Schizosaccharomyces pombe: one gene and its partners. The protein of the gene in region 4 interacts with the protein of the main gene of each other region in a biochemical or structural test. Each region holds a gene or a part of one and is shown on either strand. Other genes may lie near its edges. The genes, in order: uaf2, prp10, bpb1 and prp2.

Region 1 (3,281 bases), on a different chromosome or scaffold from region 4:
TACTAATGCAAGTTCTCGAGATAATTTTCTAAAACATTCAAGTTTGTTTCAAGTAATGAACACAGCCATTTTCACCATTGATTGTCTGAATCCTTTGGAAGGTCTTGATGGAATATCTTCCATTTTACAATTGATGAATGGCTTATCTATTTCAAGCTATATGTTTGCTATCACTAAGATGGATGAAATTGAGTGGGATGAAAATAAATTCATTAATCTTGTTAACTCGATTCAGAGCTTTCTGAAAGAAAGTTGCGGAATAATTGAGAAATCAAAATTCATTCCGATAAGCGGACTAAAAGGAACCAATCTTACATCCATTAGTCAAGAAAAATTATCCCAGTGGTATAAATCTGATACATTGCTTGGCAAAATTGATAAAGAAGCAGATACAAATCATGGCACATGGAATTTTCTTCTTAATCTACCTCTCTCTTTAACAATTTCACACATTACTCCTTTGCCAGAAAATCAATCACATATTTACTGTAGCATCCATTCAGGCATGCTTCAGGATTCGCAAAAGCTTTATGTAGGCACAGGGAGATTAGAAACACAAATCACAGGTACGGAAGGTGTTCAATTATTTTATGTTAATCAAAAAAGGACTGAGCAGTGATGAAAATCCCAAAGGGTTTAATGTTGCTGGGGATATGATTCAAGCCAAAATCCCTACATTACCCAATTTATGGTAAGTTCTTTGCAATTCTTGTATTTCTAATAAATAGTCCTGGGATTTTAATTGCTGATAGTATCGATGCCTTTACTTCTTCGAAAACTGCTTACGTTAATGCAACTTGGTTTCACGGTTCTCTTGAAAAAGGAAAGTCGATGCATGTAATAGCCCTATTCGGCTGTCACGCAGTCCTTACCAAACTGTATTGCTTTACAGACAGTCAAGAAAAAGCTCCTAACGCAATCGGAAACGATCTTGAAAGAAATCGAACCTCACTTGTGAAAATTGAATTAGAGAATGCTTTCCCTCTCGTAAAAGAAAGCTACATTAACACCTTAAGCCGCGTTTTATTCGTTTCAGAAAAATGGAATAGCTTAATTGCGTTTGGAACAGTACTATCTCTGCATGACTGAATCCCTAACTTACGTATTATACTCAACTCCATATTAATTTTGCATTCGAAAAAATTTTCCGTCCTTTTTAAAGAAATTCTCTATAGATTGTTTTAAATATTGTAAAACTACCGATGTTGTTCATTTGCGTACATCTCAGGCATCGTGACATTTGGAAACAATTTGTTCTCGAGTAAATTTCCTGAGCAAAAAAAAGGAATGTGCTGTGTTAAGAATAATTTATCTTTTTTTCTTTTGAATCGTTGGCACATCAGTCTAATAACAGTAACTACTTATTCTTGATATTTTCCAAATTCGAATATAATTAGGGAAATACAAGGGAATATCTGTATATCGGATAGTTGTAAGCTACGCAGTTTGGTATCTGATTTAAGGATACGTAGAACTGTGGTGAGTTTTCCTTGTGATCTATTATATTACAATACACAGGTTATATAAGTAGCAACTGAGTATAGGTATTGTATTAACTGGGTTATAATGTTACCTATCACTAATATAGCTCATAACTGAACTGAGGAACGAGGTTCAGCAGTAGCTCTATTTATAGTATTCAGATAATATAGATCTTAATAGATTATCATTAAGATCAATCTCCATATCGTATCATACATGGTACGATATATAATTAGAACATGTGACATATAGTGATACGCAACGTAGTGTATCATAGCGTAGTGTAGTACTGCTGACAATAGTGTGCAAGAATAATTTAGAAAATTTGCGTAACTTAACGAGATGTTGCACGCCACCATTATAAGACTAGAATCATGTTGGATCACTTTATTTCATAACCACCATATAAAAATGGCAAGTCATTTGGCAAGTATTTATGGTACTGAGCAAGATAAAGTCAATTGCTCATTCTATTATAAAATAGGAGCTTGTAGACATGGGGAACGCTGCTCTCGTAAACATGTCAAACCAAATTTTAGTCAAACGATCTTATGTCCCAACATGTATAAAAACCCAATTCATGAACCAAATGGCAAAAAGTTCACGCAGCGTGAACTTGCAGAACAATTTGATGCATTCTACGAGGACATGTTTTGTGAGTTTTCAAAATACGGTGAAGTTGAACAATTAGTCGTCTGTGACAATGTTGGAGATCACTTAGTCGGAAATGTTTATGTAAGATTCAAGTATGAAGAGTCTGCCCAAAATGCTATTGATGATTTAAATTCCCGATGGTATTCCCAAAGACCAGTCTACGCCGAGTTATCTCCTGTAACTGATTTTCGCGAGGCATGTTGCCGGCAACACGAAACTTCGGAATGTCAGCGGGGTGGCCTTTGTAATTTTATGCATGCCAAAAAACCAAGTCCTCAGCTTTTACGCGATTTGGTACTAGCACAAAGAAAGTATTTGGCCTTAAATGCAGCAGAAGAAATGAAAAAGGAGCCCAATAGTGATTCCACGAATCGATGGGTCAGTGTAACTGCTGAACGCAAAAATTAAATAGCAACTTATGGAATGTATTTGTTTTGGATTCTGGTTTGCTTTTGTACGGTTTTACTTCGTTTATTATGATTAATCTCTGGCTATAGTTTGTTGTGATTTAGGTTATTTAAATAGATGTTGCATTCTTTTATTGTTTACTAATAAACTTGATCTTTGTACAACTGTACTCATAGACGTTTTAAATTTTGTGTCCAATGTGCCTATGGCTGATTACAAGCTAAAGGAGATCGATTAGAAACATATGAAACGATCAAACATTTCGCAAAACTTGCACAGCAATTCTTAAAAACGAAGGTGTTATTGGTAGAAGCTGTGTACGATATAAGAAAAAAAAAACAAAAAAAAATAAATAGAACCCGTATTTAAGCCAAAATTGTTCAGTTGTTGTATGTTACGAAAAAATAAGTTTCAAAAATTAAAAAAATTAAAACTGCTGAATATAACATTTATATGTCTTAATTACTTTTTTGGTTTTGACGGCGAGCACGGACAGCTTCAGCAAGATCGTCTAGCATTGGAGCAGTTTGTTCCCAGCTAACACAAGCATCAGTGATACTGACACCGTACTTGAGAGTATCCTTAACGCCAGGACGGATTGGAGCATCTTGACGACCTTCATTGATATGAGATTCAATCATAACACCAACAATGGAAGAGTCGCCATTTCTGATTTGTTCGGCGATGCTCTTGGAGACCTTTGGTTGGTTCAAATGATTCTTGCTTGAGTTGCCATG
Region 2 (6,054 bases), on a different chromosome or scaffold from region 4:
TAATAATGCGTTCTATATTAATGAAAATGTTGGAAGCAAATATTATCGTAACATTAAATGTAAACAAGATTAGTTATGTAATTCGATAACAAAAGCATATGAATGTATGATCAAAAGTTAGGTAGTGATGACAGATGGTCTGGCAGCTTCTGTGTTCACTTGAGCATTCTTTCCAATGGGCGCTGTAGATACATTACTTGTCATGGTTTTGGGCTGAACGAATGCTTGGAATTGAAGGAGAAGAGTCGAAAATCGTGAAGAAAAGTCATATTTTTCATCCAACGGTATGTCGCTTAATTTAACAAGCAAAGTAAAAAGTGAATACAACTTGGTTGATTCTAATAGTTCAGAATTTATTGCGCTGAAATTCTCAATCATCTCCAATATTTGGTGCACATGAGACATATCCGATTCTTGAGGATAATGATTATATGACAGTAGGATTTCTTGTAGTTGGTAGCGGTAATATAAAAGAGTATTAAATCGAATATAATGAACTTGAGCATACATATCTACAGTACTTATAGGCTGAGCCAATTGATATTCAAGTGAAAATTTTGGTAATTCCTCTAAAGAACCGGCAAACCTTACTCTTTTTTTGGCTGTTTTCTTGGGAGAAGGAATTGGAGATGGGGATTTCTGAGCGTTGTCTGTAGCCATCCTAACTCGAGCTGACCTACGTGAAGGTCGTTGCTTCGATGTTTGAGAAATTTCTGCCGACGATTTCTCATTTTTTAACCTTTTACCCCCGTCAATTTTAGGTGTGGCTTCTATCTTTTCCTTTTTTGGTTTCTCGATGGGCTTTTGAAGTTTTTTACGAGTATTCTCTGGTTCAAACTCATCCTCTTCGACATCAGAAAAAGAAACTTTTCTCTTTACGGAAGCAATGATGAGACCTACCGTCTTTTGGATATACTTTGTCGATAAATCATGGTCCAAAATAAACCTTGATTCATCAACAGTTAAGGGCAAAACATTTGAAGAAGAAATAATAGCGTAATCTCTTGAAGGAAGAAACTGAACAAATATTCCATTGTCCATTCGAAAATTTCGTTTCAATCGTTCGCGTACCTCAGTGGGTATTGATTTTTGGCTCGCTACTCTGGCTGGCCACCATGGGAAGCTACTCATCTTTGCTAAAACATATTCCCCATTTTTATATGATTTCCTTGGTGACGTCCTCGGAACATACGCTAATTGTTTACCTTTCTTTTTAACATCACGCAGATTTTTCGTATTAGAAGTCTGTTGCCCGGTGGCCTTTTTTTTTGTTTTAATCTTCTTCTGGTTATTAATCTCTTCAAGCTTTCTTTTTTGACTGCGTGTCCTAGCAACCATCATCGTTAATTACATTCCTTATAAGCCAAACTTCACATTAAAGCGATATAGTGCTGAATTTTTCCAAAGAGATTTTACATCAATTTGTAAAGGTTCCACCAAATATTAGGATATACAAGTAGAAACCGTAAGACGCTTGTCTATTATCAATTAATTGCAGCAACGCTTACAAGATCTACAATAGCAGAGGGGGGGGGTGCTAAAAGCTTGAGCTGTTGCAATATGATACCTCGATATTTCAATATCATTCCTCATACTAATTTTTTCGATAGTATATATTTCTTTCGCAAATAAATCTTAATAAAGAGGGTTAAACTAAATAAGACACGTTAATCTTATCGTTATTCTACAAAACGAGTTACTGTATTGTACTTTAAAATATTGATAACGAAGCTTAGAATGCTTTGAGTATATTTAAATGAGTATAAGACGCGCAACATGAAAGCATTTCTTCGCCATCAACATGTCAACTGGTACGTATCCTTATAAAATGTTCAAAATGGATGTTACTAACCTAAATAAAGTAGAAGATGTGGAAATAGAAAGGCTTCGTGCTGAAAGAGAACTTTTGCGAAGACAAAAAGAGGCAGCGAAGAATTCGTCGACAAATGGAAGTGTAAATATTGAAGGTACCCAGGATTCTAATGATTTACAATATAATGCTCATCTTTTTAAGTCCAGTAACCCAAAAGAAGAATATGACTCCGCAATTGACGTGCGCAATGATATCTCTCAGGATGAAGACGATTATAAACGTACAAACGATGTTAATGATAGTTATCGTTTAGTGCGTCAATATGAAGCACCTAAGGAACTACTAAATGAATACGCTGATGAAAGTTATGACCCTATGCAAGAGAGACAGTCAAAAAAGCAAATTCAGGATCGCGAGTCAGATTATCAAAAGCAGCGTTATGATAGACAGCTTACTCCAACCCGCGTAGATGCTTTTCAACCTGATGGGACACAGAGCAATGGAAGATCTTATGCGGAGGTTATGCGGCAGGTTGAATTAGAAAAGGAAGAGCGACGAGTTCATATGGAATTAAATCAAAGACGTCGTGAAGGAACACTAAAAGAGGTGGAGGAGGAGGAAAGCATATCGGACAAAAAAAGAGAACTAGAGCTTAATAATACGGAAATATCTCAGAAGCCTAAACGCTCTCGTTGGGATCAGGCTCCACCTAGCGTTACGCAGGTTTCCACTACTAAGCGTAGATCACGTTGGGACAAAGCTCCTGAAAACTTCACTATATCTGAACATGTTATAGAAAACGGAATTTCTGAAGATCTTATTAATAAGGAAGTAAATGTAGTAGAAGAAAAATTACGACCTCCTGTCCGTTTATTAACTGAAGAAGAGTTAAATGAGCTTTTGCCGTCAGAAGGCTATGCTATTTTGGAGCCTCCTCCTGGATATTTAGAATCAATTCATCCTGAACTACTTCAAAAAGGTACTACGCTCGATACATATCACGTTCCACAAGAGCAAGAGCTTCCTTTAGAAAAAGAATTACCAGCTGCATTGCCTACAGAAATACCCGGTGTAGGTGATTTAGCTTTTTTTAAGCAAGAAGATGTTAAATATTTTGGCAAGTTACTCAAGGTGGAGGACGAGGCCAAGCTTACAATTGCGGAACTTCGTGAACGTAAAATTTTGAGATTACTTCTGAAAGTAAAAAATGGTACTCCTCCCATGCGTAAGAGTGCATTACGCCAGCTTACGGATCAAGCTCGCGACTTTGGTGCAGCTGCTTTATTTAATCAGATTCTTCCGTTGTTAATGGAACGAACACTGGAAGATCAGGAGCGCCATCTTTTAGTTAAGGTTATTGATCGTATATTATACAAATTGGATGATCTGGTTCGCCCTTTTACTCATAAAATTCTCGTAGTTATTGAACCCCTTCTTATTGATGAAGATTACTATGCACGTGCTGAAGGTCGGGAAATCATTAGTAACTTAGCTAAAGCTTCCGGCTTGGCTCATATGATTGCTACAATGAGACCTGACATTGATCATGTCGACGAATATGTCCGAAACACCACAGCCCGTGCCTTTTCGGTTGTTGCCTCTGCACTAGGCGTGCCGGCTCTTTTACCTTTTTTAAAAGCTGTTTGTAGAAGTAAGAAATCATGGCAAGCCAGGCATACTGGCGTTCGGATTATTCAACAGATTGCTCTGTTATTAGGATGCTCTATTTTACCACACTTAAAAAATTTAGTTGATTGTATTGGTCACGGCCTTGAAGATGAACAACAAAAAGTACGAATTATGACAGCTTTGTCCTTATCGGCTTTAGCTGAAGCTGCTACTCCTTACGGTATTGAAGCTTTTGACAGCGTTTTAAAGCCATTATGGTCAGGAGTCCAAAGGCATCGTGGTAAAAGCTTAGCCGCCTTTTTAAAAGCAACCGGTTTTATTATCCCTCTTATGGAACCTGAGTATGCAAGTCATTTTACACGGCGTATCATGAAAATTCTTCTACGTGAATTTAATTCACCAGACGAAGAAATGAAAAAGATAGTTCTCAAAGTTGTATCACAATGTGCATCTACTGATGGAGTAACACCTGAGTATTTGAGAACTGATGTGTTGCCTGAATTTTTTCACTGTTTTTGGTCCCGAAGGATGGCATCAGATCGTCGCAGCTACAAGCAAGTTGTTGAAACTACAGTTGTTCTTGCTCAACAAGTAGGTTCCCGTCAAATTGTTGAAAGGGTCGTCAACAACTTTAAAGATGAATCCGAGCCATATCGGAAGATGACCGCTGAAACTGTCGATAAAGTGATTGGCTCTTTAGGTGTTTCCGAGATTGACGAAAGATTGGAAGAGCTACTGTTGGATGGTGTTTTATTTGCTTTTCAGGAGCAATCCGTTGAGGAGAAAGTTATTTTAACTTGCTTTAGTACTGTTGTTAATGCTCTTGGTACAAGATGTAAGCCGTATCTTCCTCAGATCGTTTCTACTATATTGTATCGTTTAAACAATAAGTCTGCTAATGTCCGCGAACAAGCTGCCGACTTAGTTTCCAGTATAACCATTGTTTTAAAGGCATGTGGTGAAGAAGCATTAATGCGTAAACTTGGTGTTGTTTTGTACGAGTATCTTGGTGAAGAATATCCAGAGGTTCTGGGCTCAATTCTTGGTGCTATTAAAGCTATTGTTTCCGTTGTTGGTATGTCTTCAATGCAACCTCCTATTCGTGATTTGTTACCAAGATTGACTCCCATCTTGAGGAACCGTCATGAAAAGGTCCAAGAGAATACAATTGATCTCGTTGGCAAAATTGCAGATCGTGGATCGGAATACGTGTCCGCTAGGGAATGGATGCGTATTTGTTTTGAATTAATTGATATGCTTAAAGCACATAAAAAGAGTATTCGCCGTGCTGCTGTCAACACATTTGGTTATATATCAAAAGCCATCGGACCTCAAGACGTGCTGGCTACTTTGTTAAATAATCTCAAAGTCCAGGAACGCCAAAATCGTGTATGTACTACTGTAGCTATTGCTATCGTGGCAGAAACATGTATGCCTTTTACAGTCGTACCAGCACTTATGGCAGACTACAGAACTCCAGAAATGAACGTGCAGAATGGTGTTTTAAAGTCATTAGCGTTTATGTTTGAATACATTGGTGAGCAAGCACGCGACTATGTTTATGCCATTACACCTCTTTTAGCCGATGCGCTTATGGATCGCGATGCCGTGCATCGGCAAACCGCCGCTTCTGTAATCAAGCACTTGTCTCTTGGTTGTGTTGGTTTGGGTGTTGAAGACGCAATGATTCATTTACTTAATATCCTATGGCCAAATATCTTGGAGGAATCGCCCCATGTTATCAATGCCGTTCGGGAAGGCATTGATGGCATCCGAAATTGTATCGGTGTAGGTCCAATTATGGCATATTTAGTACAAGGATTATTTCATCCGAGTCGTAAAGTTCGTAACACTTATTGGACAAGCTACAATTCTGCTTATGTACAAAGTGCAGATGCTATGGTACCATACTATCCCCACGTTGATGACGATCAATTCAACAACTACGATATGAAAACTTTACATATTTGCATCTAAGTACCCTTTTTGTTAATTATTAAAAAATATTCATTATAATAGTACATGAAAACATTTGTGATAGTACTTGTATACATGTCTCAGCTTCATGTTAATAACTTTGGTTTCAACAGAGCATCGCAAATTACTTGACGCGGTTTGCAAATGCTACATAAATAAATTTCGGACTAAGTGTAGTAATTAAAGGAAAGCTATGGGGAAATGTTAAAAGGAACGTACGCATATAACCATGCCGTTTGAAAAATACGAGCGTTCTAAAATTTATTTAGAAGGAGACTCCCATGCCCAACCAAACAATGAGTAATAAATTTAAAGCAGTCAAAAAGAGCCAAATTGCCCATGTAACAATAGTCATAGTCCATCCTAAGCTATAATCGTGAGTTTCTCTTATCAATTGTCCAGTTTCTTCATTGGTAGAATCACTAACAACACGCATAACTTTTCGAGAGCAAGTGAACATTACAAGTGGAAAGGTAAGAAAAGGTAATAAAATAGAAAGACAAACCTGACTAGCGTTCAGTACTTGATTAAGACCACTCTGTCCAACAGCAGCCGAAACAACTAAGCATGGGATAATTGCAATAGCACGTGTTATTACTCTTCGAAGCCAAGGACGTAAATTCCAATTTATGTAA
Region 3 (4,620 bases), on a different chromosome or scaffold from region 4:
GGCATGCAAACAAAATCTTCAATAAAAGTTAGTGGTTTGTCACTGAATAAAAGAAAAAAAAAATTCATCTGTAAAATCTCAGGCAAACACATCAACATGTATCGCTTGTTTACAAATTAAAAGCAAACATACTGCCCACTATGAGAATGACTAGAAATTGGCATTATTATGATAATATGTAGCGTATTTGCAAAATTGAACCGAAAAAAAAGAATGAATATCGATGAAGCTGAACTGTGTTAAAATTGGAAATCCAAAACAGAATTGAGAAAATTCGACAATGCACCAAAGACTATCCAAAATATTTATCTAAATTGATTCCCAACAAATACAATCCAAGCTATCTATAAAACGACAAAAGTAAATATTTTCGCAGTCGACCGAAAAAATGGAATGATAACTATAAATTTCAGATAATTAGTTTAAATTAACCCAACCAAAACTTAAAGATGCATTAGCGTCTTACCAAACGAAAAATCCAGAATTATATCAACTAACGGCTCAATACCAAAATGCGAATGAATGTGGGAAATGGATGAAACAGACGGAACGAGCCGTAAAAAAATTGGGAATCAAATTTTTATAAGAGATCTAACGAGTTACTGGAATGCCTTTCTAACGAGCCGGTTGTTTCGATCACTCAGCGTACCGGACATCTTTTGGAATCAATTTTTGTTAACGACTTTTTTCAGCATATGGTGAAGTGCGGTATTCCCCAAATTCGAACTTTCACACTAGGTTCTGTGGTTTGATAAAATGCAAGCAGCTTGATTCATTTACGAAAAAATTACGATCCTGACTCTGCTTCTTTCACACAGTAAAACGGGTCATATTGGAGTTGTATGAACATTTGGCAAAAACGTTTCTTAATGAAAATCAGATCCTTTCCAATGTTCCTAAGATGTTATGGTATCATGCATTTTTGAGTTTGATAGTAAAGAATTAAATTAATAGAATTTAAACAAAGCACTAAACACACTGAATCCTTATTTTTCTTCATGAGTAAATTTTTCTCTAGGCAAATTATCTGATCAGATAAGGAAGGCTTGCATGCCGAGTGGTGGAATGTCGCTTGGAATATGAAAAAAAGATTGTATGCCCGCAGCCTGTTTTACAAAAATGTTTCTCATTATCAACTAAAACATAAGTACTATTTATCATTCCAAAACCAATTTCTTTTAATTTCGATTCTGGTTTCTCAATGTAAACCTTGCTGGATTTCGCTATAATTCCAACCCAAGCTCAACAAAATGGTCATGGGCAATAAGAGTTTGCACTTCCATCTAATTATGAACCAAATTCAGAAAAATATCAAAAATTTTTCTACTGACTTATTCTTGAGCATTACTCACCCTCTAAAAACCTCCTATCTATTGTTCGATACAAAATAAGGATATGCCTGTATACTGGTATTACAATATAATATTACAATATTCTCTTTTACAATTCCTATTCGCTTAACTTTGATGCTTGAATTATTATTTAGCGAACTCTAAAGTATGTTTTAATCGCAAAAAAAAAGAAGAATCAACGCTTTACCCTACCAAACAGAGGTGGAACTCTCCATCATTGTCTGATTATTTTTTAAGAAAGATGAATGTTTCCATATCATATCTAAGCCGTAATCCGCCAGTCTCGTTTCTGTAAATCCAAATTGCAATGATGCTTAAAGCTGTTTATAATAAAGTACGTTAGATTTATTTAGCGCAATGAATAGAGATACACTAAACCGATTTAAGATCAATAACTGAATATCGAAACAAGTGCAAGAACTGCTTGCTGTATTGTTAGAAAAAAAAAATTTCGGTTGAACTTATCATTGACTGAATAGTCTCATTTGAAAATTTATTCAAGTAATTATACATTTAATTCTTTTTTAGCGAGACGGTTATTGCACTCGTTTGTCTCAAACGTGTCGTATCTTCAGTTTCGTCCGTTACTTTATTGCCTCCTTGCCTCCTACATTTCAGTCGTTACTTTTCACCAAGAACCAACGCCCGTCTTCGATCTAGCAGTCTTATTAAAATGCTGAATTCAAGGTCAGTAGGGTCTACTGGTAAGTGTTTTAAGAGATTATTAGTGCAAATTATTAATATTTTTAGGTTCGAATAATACTCCCTTAGGAAGGAGGCGGTTTGACGAAAAACCAGATTCTTTACCACCATTGCCTGATGCAAATGGAATGAGTAATGGTTATCGCGATTCTTATAAAAGCAATTCCAGAATGGATCATAGACCGGATGGCTATCACGATGGTCGAGGTCGTCGAGCTTATAGAAAACATTATTGGGGTCATCCAACCCCGATTGAGGAAATGTTACCAAGCCAAATGGAGCTGGAAACTGCCGTTAAATCCTGTATGACTATGGAGCAATTAGAATTATACTCTTTGAATGTTCGATTGGAAGAAATTACGCAAAAGCTTAGAACCGGTGATGTTGTTCCTCATCACCGTGAACGGTCCCCTTCTCCTCCTCCGCAATACGATAACCATGGTCGCCGATTGAATACTCGAGAAATCCGTTACAAGAAAAAGCTAGAGGATGAGCGTCACCGGATTATTGAGCGCGCAATGAAAATGGTGCCAGGCTTTCGTGCTCCCAGTGATTATAGAAGACCTGCAAAAACACAAGAGAAGGTTTACGTTCCCGTTAAGGATTATCCAGAGATTAATTTCATCGGCCTCCTGATCGGTCCTCGTGGCCACACTTTGAAGGATATGGAAGCAAAATCTGGAGCCAAAATTGCTATTCGTGGTAAAGGAAGTGTTAAAGAAGGAAAAGGAAGAAGCGATCCATCTGTCCGAGGTAATATGGAAGAAGATTTACACTGCCTTGTTACCGCAGACTCTGAAGATAAAATTAACCATGCCATAAAACTAATTGATAATGTTATCCAAACGGCCGCTTCTGTTCCAGAAGGCCAAAACGACTTAAAAAGAAATCAACTTCGTCAGCTTGCTACTCTTAATGGTACTTTACGAGACGATGAAAATCAGGTTTGCCAAAATTGCGGTAACGTGGGTCATCGTCGTTTCGATTGTCCTGAACGTATCAATCACACAATGAACATTGTTTGTAGGCATTGCGGAAGTATTGGCCATATTGCTCGCGACTGTCCTGTTAGAGATCAACAACCTCCAATGGCTGATTCTACTGCTGATCGGGAATATCAAAGTCTTATGCAAGAGCTTGGTGGGGGATCGGCTATTTCCAATGGTAATGGTGAACCCCAAAAATCTATTGAATTTTCCGAAAGTGGAGCTGCTAGTCCTCAAGCAGGTCACCCTCCACCTTGGGCTGCTGCGTCTACTTCGGTATCTAGCAGCACTTCTAGTCCTGCTCCTTGGGCCAAACCAGCTTCATCAGCCGCCCCTTCAAATCCAGCCCCTTGGCAGCAACCTGCTGCTCCACAATCTGCCCCTGCCCTTTCTATGAATCCAAGTTCACTACCTCCTTGGCAGCAGCCAACTCAACAGTCCGCTGTACAGCCTTCTAATTTAGTACCTTCACAAAATGCGCCATTCATCCCTGGTACTTCTGCTCCCCTTCCACCTACTACATTCGCTCCTCCTGGTGTGCCTCTGCCACCAATTCCTGGGGCGCCTGGTATGCCGAACCTGAATATGTCTCAACCACCCATGGTTCCACCTGGAATGGCTTTGCCTCCTGGCATGCCCGCACCATTTCCTGGATATCCCGCTGTTCCTGCTATGCCTGGTATACCTGGTGCAACAGCTCCCCCTGGTGCACCAGGCTCATACAATACGTCGGAGTCCTCTAATTTAAATGCCCCACCCGGTGTTTCAATGCCAAACGGATATTCCAATCGATAGAATATATGTATTTGTTAATAGTTTGTCGCATATTATAATGAGGTTGAAAAAAAAGGTTTATGCAAGCCAATTGCTTCTTTTAATTTTTACGGTTTAAAAGTATTCGATATATGTTTTGAATTTAATTCATTAATTTTATAACGTGTTTCCCAAAAAATTTTGTTTGATTGTAATTCATGTGACAAAAATGTATATCTATGATTGATCTTTTTTAGTCTTGCGTTTCCTTTTTGGTTTCCAAATATCCATTATCATGTAAATATCAGAGTAATCGTTCGTGAGGTCTTTGTACATTTTATAGGTTAATGAGGCAGTAGTTTTATCTGTAACAATGCTTAGTGGGCTTTTACCTGTCTTCAGCTTACTTGCTGCTTGGTGAAATAAAGCAAAGTTTAAAGTGCTTGATAGAGGGCTGAATGAAACAAATTCCTGAAAACTAATAGAAGACTGTTCCTTGTCTTCACTGAATATCAACATACATATCGAATATATTGTCGCTATAAAACGAGAAACGCTGGCAATGTCCTCTTGCGTAGGTTCCACCGGCTGCAAGTTCATAGGACTACCTAAGAATAGACTTACATGCATTAAGAGGAAACTGGTAGCTGTAATATTGTTTAAATTTTTCATACACCGTAAAGTCCATAGTACTAGCCTGTGCGGTAAATTCCAGTTAGAAAATTTGCTATCCAACGTTTCGCAGACTGTAGCATAATCATAATCTACAGAAATCAATCTCTTCGATAACCGGTCACTCAAACGAAAATATTCTAATACCTCTGTTC
Region 4 (4,094 bases):
CCTAATGTCTTCATTTAGATATGTCGACCATATAGGATATATTTCAAAAAAACTGTTCAACGCTTGTTCGAGTGCTTCCTTATCCGAAGCGGCAGTGTTTTCAAAGATTGGAACCAAGTTTTTTGAAAGTTCTAAAACCTCAACGTATTCAAGGCATTGAGCACGACAATTAAAGACGTTTGAAGTTCGCGATAAAACGTAATTCGGGTAGGAAAATTTGTTAAGGCGTGCTAATATTAAAGACGTAAGCGATTGTTCATCATAAATGGACGAACGAAAGTACACAATATTAATTCGATGAAATAGGTCTACTAAAATTTTCTTTGGTTTCACACAGGATTTGCATTGATATAATAGTTGCTTCCGAAGAAACGACTCTTGCTTATGCATCACACCAAAAGCATCAAAGGACAAAAATTGTTGACCATTACAATGTAGTACTGATTGTCTTTTAGATAGGAAAATGATTTCTTTTGAAATTTCAGACCTGCTTTTTCCACACACCTTCGTTTGTCTAGCTAACGAACGCAATTCATCGAGAGATAGAATTTCAATTATTTCTTCAGTTGACATGAGTGATTCATCTTCAAAAAAATTTTTCAGAACAAGCTGCTTACAGCAGGCAATAACATCCTTGCAATCTGGATAAGTCAAATGGCCCACGCGGAACCATTTATTTCTTTTACGCATGAATAGACGAACAAACAAGTACCGTTCATCCGAGTCTAAAGCTTTAAAGTTTTCAATAACCCTCAACTCATCATCAGTAAAGATATGCGGTTCACAATCGAGGACGGTGTTTAGGATTTCTTCGAACCCCAGCAGATACATTGAATTTTTAGTAGAATATACATTGTGCTTATTAGTATTGGCAACTTGTCCTTTAACTGTTGTCTCTGGTGCTTGACATACAACTTTTAAGGGAGGGAAACATAACTTGTTCTCGTTTACCCCAGATTTATCTGGAGTGTTTATGTCGCACGCTTCATTAAAGAATCGTTTCATGAATTTTTAGATATCACAGCAGCGCGACTGAATAAGTGCACAAGATGATGGCCGTAAGTAAACAAATATTTAAAAAAAAGAGCGGCTTTTACAACAATGGAAAGCTAGTATGAAAATAAATAATAATAAATTTTGAATGAATGTAAACGTCTTCTTGTGTAATAAAGTAAATTTTTAAAAGATTGAACATACAATTTAAGAGCATGGATTTCAAGGATAAAATGAGACAAACATTAAATCTATCGTGGATGTACTGGCAAAAAAAAAACGAAAATTATTGAATTTCATGGCAGCTGTAAATTTTTAAAGATTGCTTTAAAAGAAAGCCATACAATCAAATACTATGGTCAAAAGAGAAAAATTCGTTAAAACTTAGGAGAATGGTACTAGGGTAAGGACAACAGTTTAAATAAATGCTTTTGAAAATTTAACTGCATTCGTAAGTTACAGTGTTGTCTATAATGCAAGTTTAGCGAAAGTTGCTATTTGAAACTAAAAAGAAAATGTAAGTCAACAACGTTGTGCTTAAAATTACGACGCTGGCGAAGTTACTACAAACTCTCACTACCTTAACTTAGTAAGTCGAAACTTTTGACTAACCTTGGGCGTATCACATAAAGAAAAAATAAGTTAATTATTATTGTTCATGTTATAAATTTTTTTTAGCAAGGAATCCAAGAGCATTGACGCGCATATCATTTCATTAGAATTTGTACTTTTGTATTCCCTACTTTCATCAAAGTTTTTTCCGGAGAATTTAAGAGTTCATTTTAATAAACGAATTTCTTCCCTCCCTTCTTTTTTGAATAATTTTTTAAATAGCCTCATATTCATTCACTAACATGGATTTGTCTTCCAGATTATCATCAGGTTCTTCACGGATACCCAAGCGACACAGAGATTATCGCGATGAAGAACCTAGACGAGAAAGAGGTTCGGGTGGGATAGGAAGGGAAGACCCGAGAGGCCATTATGGCTCTGAACGACCTAGAAGACGTCGCCGAGACGAAAGTGATTTTCGTAGACATAGAGAATCTCGTGAAAGAAGTTATCGAGAGGATGAGAGGCCAAGAAGAGAAAGAAGATATGATGATTATGAGCCTCGATCATTACGTTATTCATCTGTCGGAAGAAGTAGAAGTCCACCTCCCAGCCGAGAAAGAAGCGTAAGGTCTATCGAACAGGAACTCGAACAATTGAGAGATGTAACACCAATAAATCAGTGGAAAAGGAAGCGCTCTTTATGGGACATTAAACCACCTGGTTATGAATTGGTTACTGCTGACCAGGCGAAAATGTCTGGTGTTTTTCCTTTGCCAGGCGCTCCTAGAGCTGCAGTTACTGATCCAGAGAAATTGCTAGAATTTGCTCGCTCTGCGGAAGGAAGTATTATTGCTCCCCCTCCGCCCTTACAACCAGGTGCTAGCAGACAGGCTCGTCGACTAGTGGTTACTGGAATTCCTAACGAATTCGTTGAAGATGCTTTTGTATCATTTATCGAAGATCTATTTATTTCAACTACATACCATAAACCCGAGACAAAGCATTTCTCCTCTGTCAACGTCTGTAAAGAAGAAAACTTTGCTATTCTTGAGGTCGCTACTCCTGAAGATGCCACCTTCCTCTGGGGGCTTCAGTCCGAATCATATTCTAATGATGTCTTTTTAAAATTTCAAAGAATTCAAAATTACATCGTCCCTCAAATTACCCCCGAAGTTTCTCAAAAAAGAAGTGATGATTATGCCAAGAACGACGTTTTAGATTCAAAAGACAAAATTTACATTTCAAATTTACCTTTAAATTTAGGCGAAGATCAAGTGGTGGAGCTACTTAAGCCTTTCGGTGATTTATTAAGCTTTCAATTGATAAAAAATATTGCAGATGGATCTTCGAAGGGTTTTTGTTTTTGCGAATTTAAAAATCCTTCTGATGCGGAAGTAGCTATCAGCGGTCTTGATGGTAAAGATACGTATGGGAACAAGTTACACGCACAATTTGCTTGTGTAGGTCTCAATCAAGCTATGATAGATAAGTCTAATGGAATGGCCATTTTGACAGAACTTGCTAAGGCGTCATCACAATCTATTCCAACTAGAGTCTTACAATTACATAATTTAATTACTGGGGACGAAATTATGGATGTACAAGAATATGAAGACATATATGAGTCTGTAAAGACCCAATTTTCGAATTATGGACCACTTATAGATATAAAAATTCCTCGTAGTATTGGCACTAGAAACTCGGGATTAGGAACTGGAAAGGTTTTTGTACGATACTCCGATATCAGATCTGCAGAGGTCGCAATGGAAGAGATGAAAGGTTGTAAATTTAATGATCGCACGATTGTCATTGCTTTTTATGGTGAGGATTGCTATAAAGCTAATGCATGGTGATTTCAGTTTCAATGAAAAGGTTAGTATAATATCTTAATGTTAGGGTAATAATATCAGTATTTCTCATTGGATTGTTTAAAGTGTAACAAAGTACTCAATTGTAATGAGCGATTGTGGGATGAAGTAATTCTTGCAAGCATTTCCCGTTATACGCTTTTTATCATCGGTTTAATTTACAAGGTTCGTTGTAAGGATTCTTAATATATGTATTTTTTGTAAATTGTTAGTCACTATCGTATTCTTCCTCGCTACTGCTGCTTTCCTCAGAATCGTTTTGATTTAACGATTCATCTGCAAACTCTTTAGGCCTTTAAACTAGTTAGCACAATCATCTAATGTTATTTCAAGAGAATTTCTTACCAATAAATTTGTTTTTTCCAATTTTTTAAAGGGCTTTGTACCACGTACAATATAGTACCGTCAATTTTATTGTCCTTCTCTAAAAACTCAGATTTATCAACTATTACAAACCCATTTCTCCTAACCCATATTTTATTACGATACTTTGGAGGCATCTCAACAAGTAATTCCTGTCCATTGTTTTCTACTACCATAAAAAGCGCAGATCCTTTAAGTTGCACAACTTTGGCGACGACTTGATCTTTTTCCAACCTAGCTGGTGGATCAAACGAAATTTGACCGCCATATTTTTTTGACATATTAGTATTTCTCTAAAGAGCTCGTATATATGTG

The links.
Region 1: the proteins of prp2 (region 4) and uaf2 form a complex in vitro, tested with the Schizosaccharomyces pombe proteins (one study listed by BioGRID).
Region 2: the proteins of prp2 (region 4) and prp10 form a complex in vitro, tested with the Schizosaccharomyces pombe proteins (one study listed by BioGRID).
Region 3: the proteins of prp2 (region 4) and bpb1 form a complex in vitro, tested with the Schizosaccharomyces pombe proteins (one study listed by BioGRID).

Annotation. Positions count from the first base shown.
Region 1 is NC_003424.3:5,323,718-5,326,998, forward strand, and holds uaf2 (U2 auxiliary factor small subunit Uaf2), read left to right. Parts: upstream 1-1,876; 5' UTR 1,877-1,893; coding exon 1,894-2,544; 3' UTR 2,545-2,718; downstream 2,719-3,281. Other genes in the region: ski7 (ski complex-interacting GTPase), read left to right, coding at 1-566, 607-691, 729-1,089; SPOM_SPAP8A3.07C (phospho-2-dehydro-3-deoxyheptonate aldolase), read right to left, coding at 3,003-3,281.
Region 2 is NC_003424.3:4,332,535-4,338,588, reverse strand, and holds prp10 (U2 snRNP-associated protein SF3B1), read left to right. Parts: upstream 1-1,784; 5' UTR 1,785-1,801; coding exon 1,802-1,811; intron 1,812-1,862; coding exon 1,863-1,967; exon of another isoform or gene 1,968-2,033; coding exon 2,034-5,419; 3' UTR 5,420-5,454; downstream 5,455-6,054. Other genes in the region: pdp3 (PWWP domain-containing protein), read right to left, coding at 118-1,341; pdt1 (Nramp family Mn(2+) transporter), read right to left, coding at 5,685-6,054. UniProt on the Schizosaccharomyces pombe protein: Contacts pre-mRNA on both sides of the branch site early in spliceosome assembly.
Region 3 is NC_003421.2:555,611-560,230, reverse strand, and holds bpb1 (zinc finger-splicing factor Bpb1), read left to right. Parts: upstream 1-1,982; 5' UTR 1,983-2,025; coding exon 2,026-2,056; exon of another isoform or gene 2,057-2,102; coding exon 2,103-3,835; 3' UTR 3,836-3,990; downstream 3,991-4,620. Other genes in the region: SPOM_SPCC1672.01 (histidinol-phosphatase), read right to left, coding at 1-16, 133-164; XP-G family protein ast1, read right to left, coding at 4,031-4,620. UniProt on the Schizosaccharomyces pombe protein: Necessary for the splicing of pre-mRNA. The BPB1(SF1)-u2af59-u2af23 complex has a role in the recognition of the branch site (5'-UACUAAC-3'), the pyrimidine tract and the 3'-splice site at the 3'-end of introns.
Region 4 is NC_003423.3:1,011,708-1,015,801, forward strand, and holds prp2 (U2 small nuclear RNA auxiliary factor small subunit, U2AF-59), read left to right. Parts: upstream 1-1,602; 5' UTR 1,603-1,847; coding exon 1,848-3,401; 3' UTR 3,402-3,472; downstream 3,473-4,094. Other genes in the region: fan1 (fanconi-associated nuclease 1), read right to left, coding at 1-1,005; tif1102 (translation initiation factor eIF1A-like), read right to left, coding at 3,625-3,709, 3,762-4,060. UniProt on the Schizosaccharomyces pombe protein: Necessary for the splicing of pre-mRNA. The SF1-U2AF59-U2AF23 complex has a role in the recognition of the branch site (5'-UACUAAC-3'), the pyrimidine tract and the 3'-splice site at the 3'-end of introns.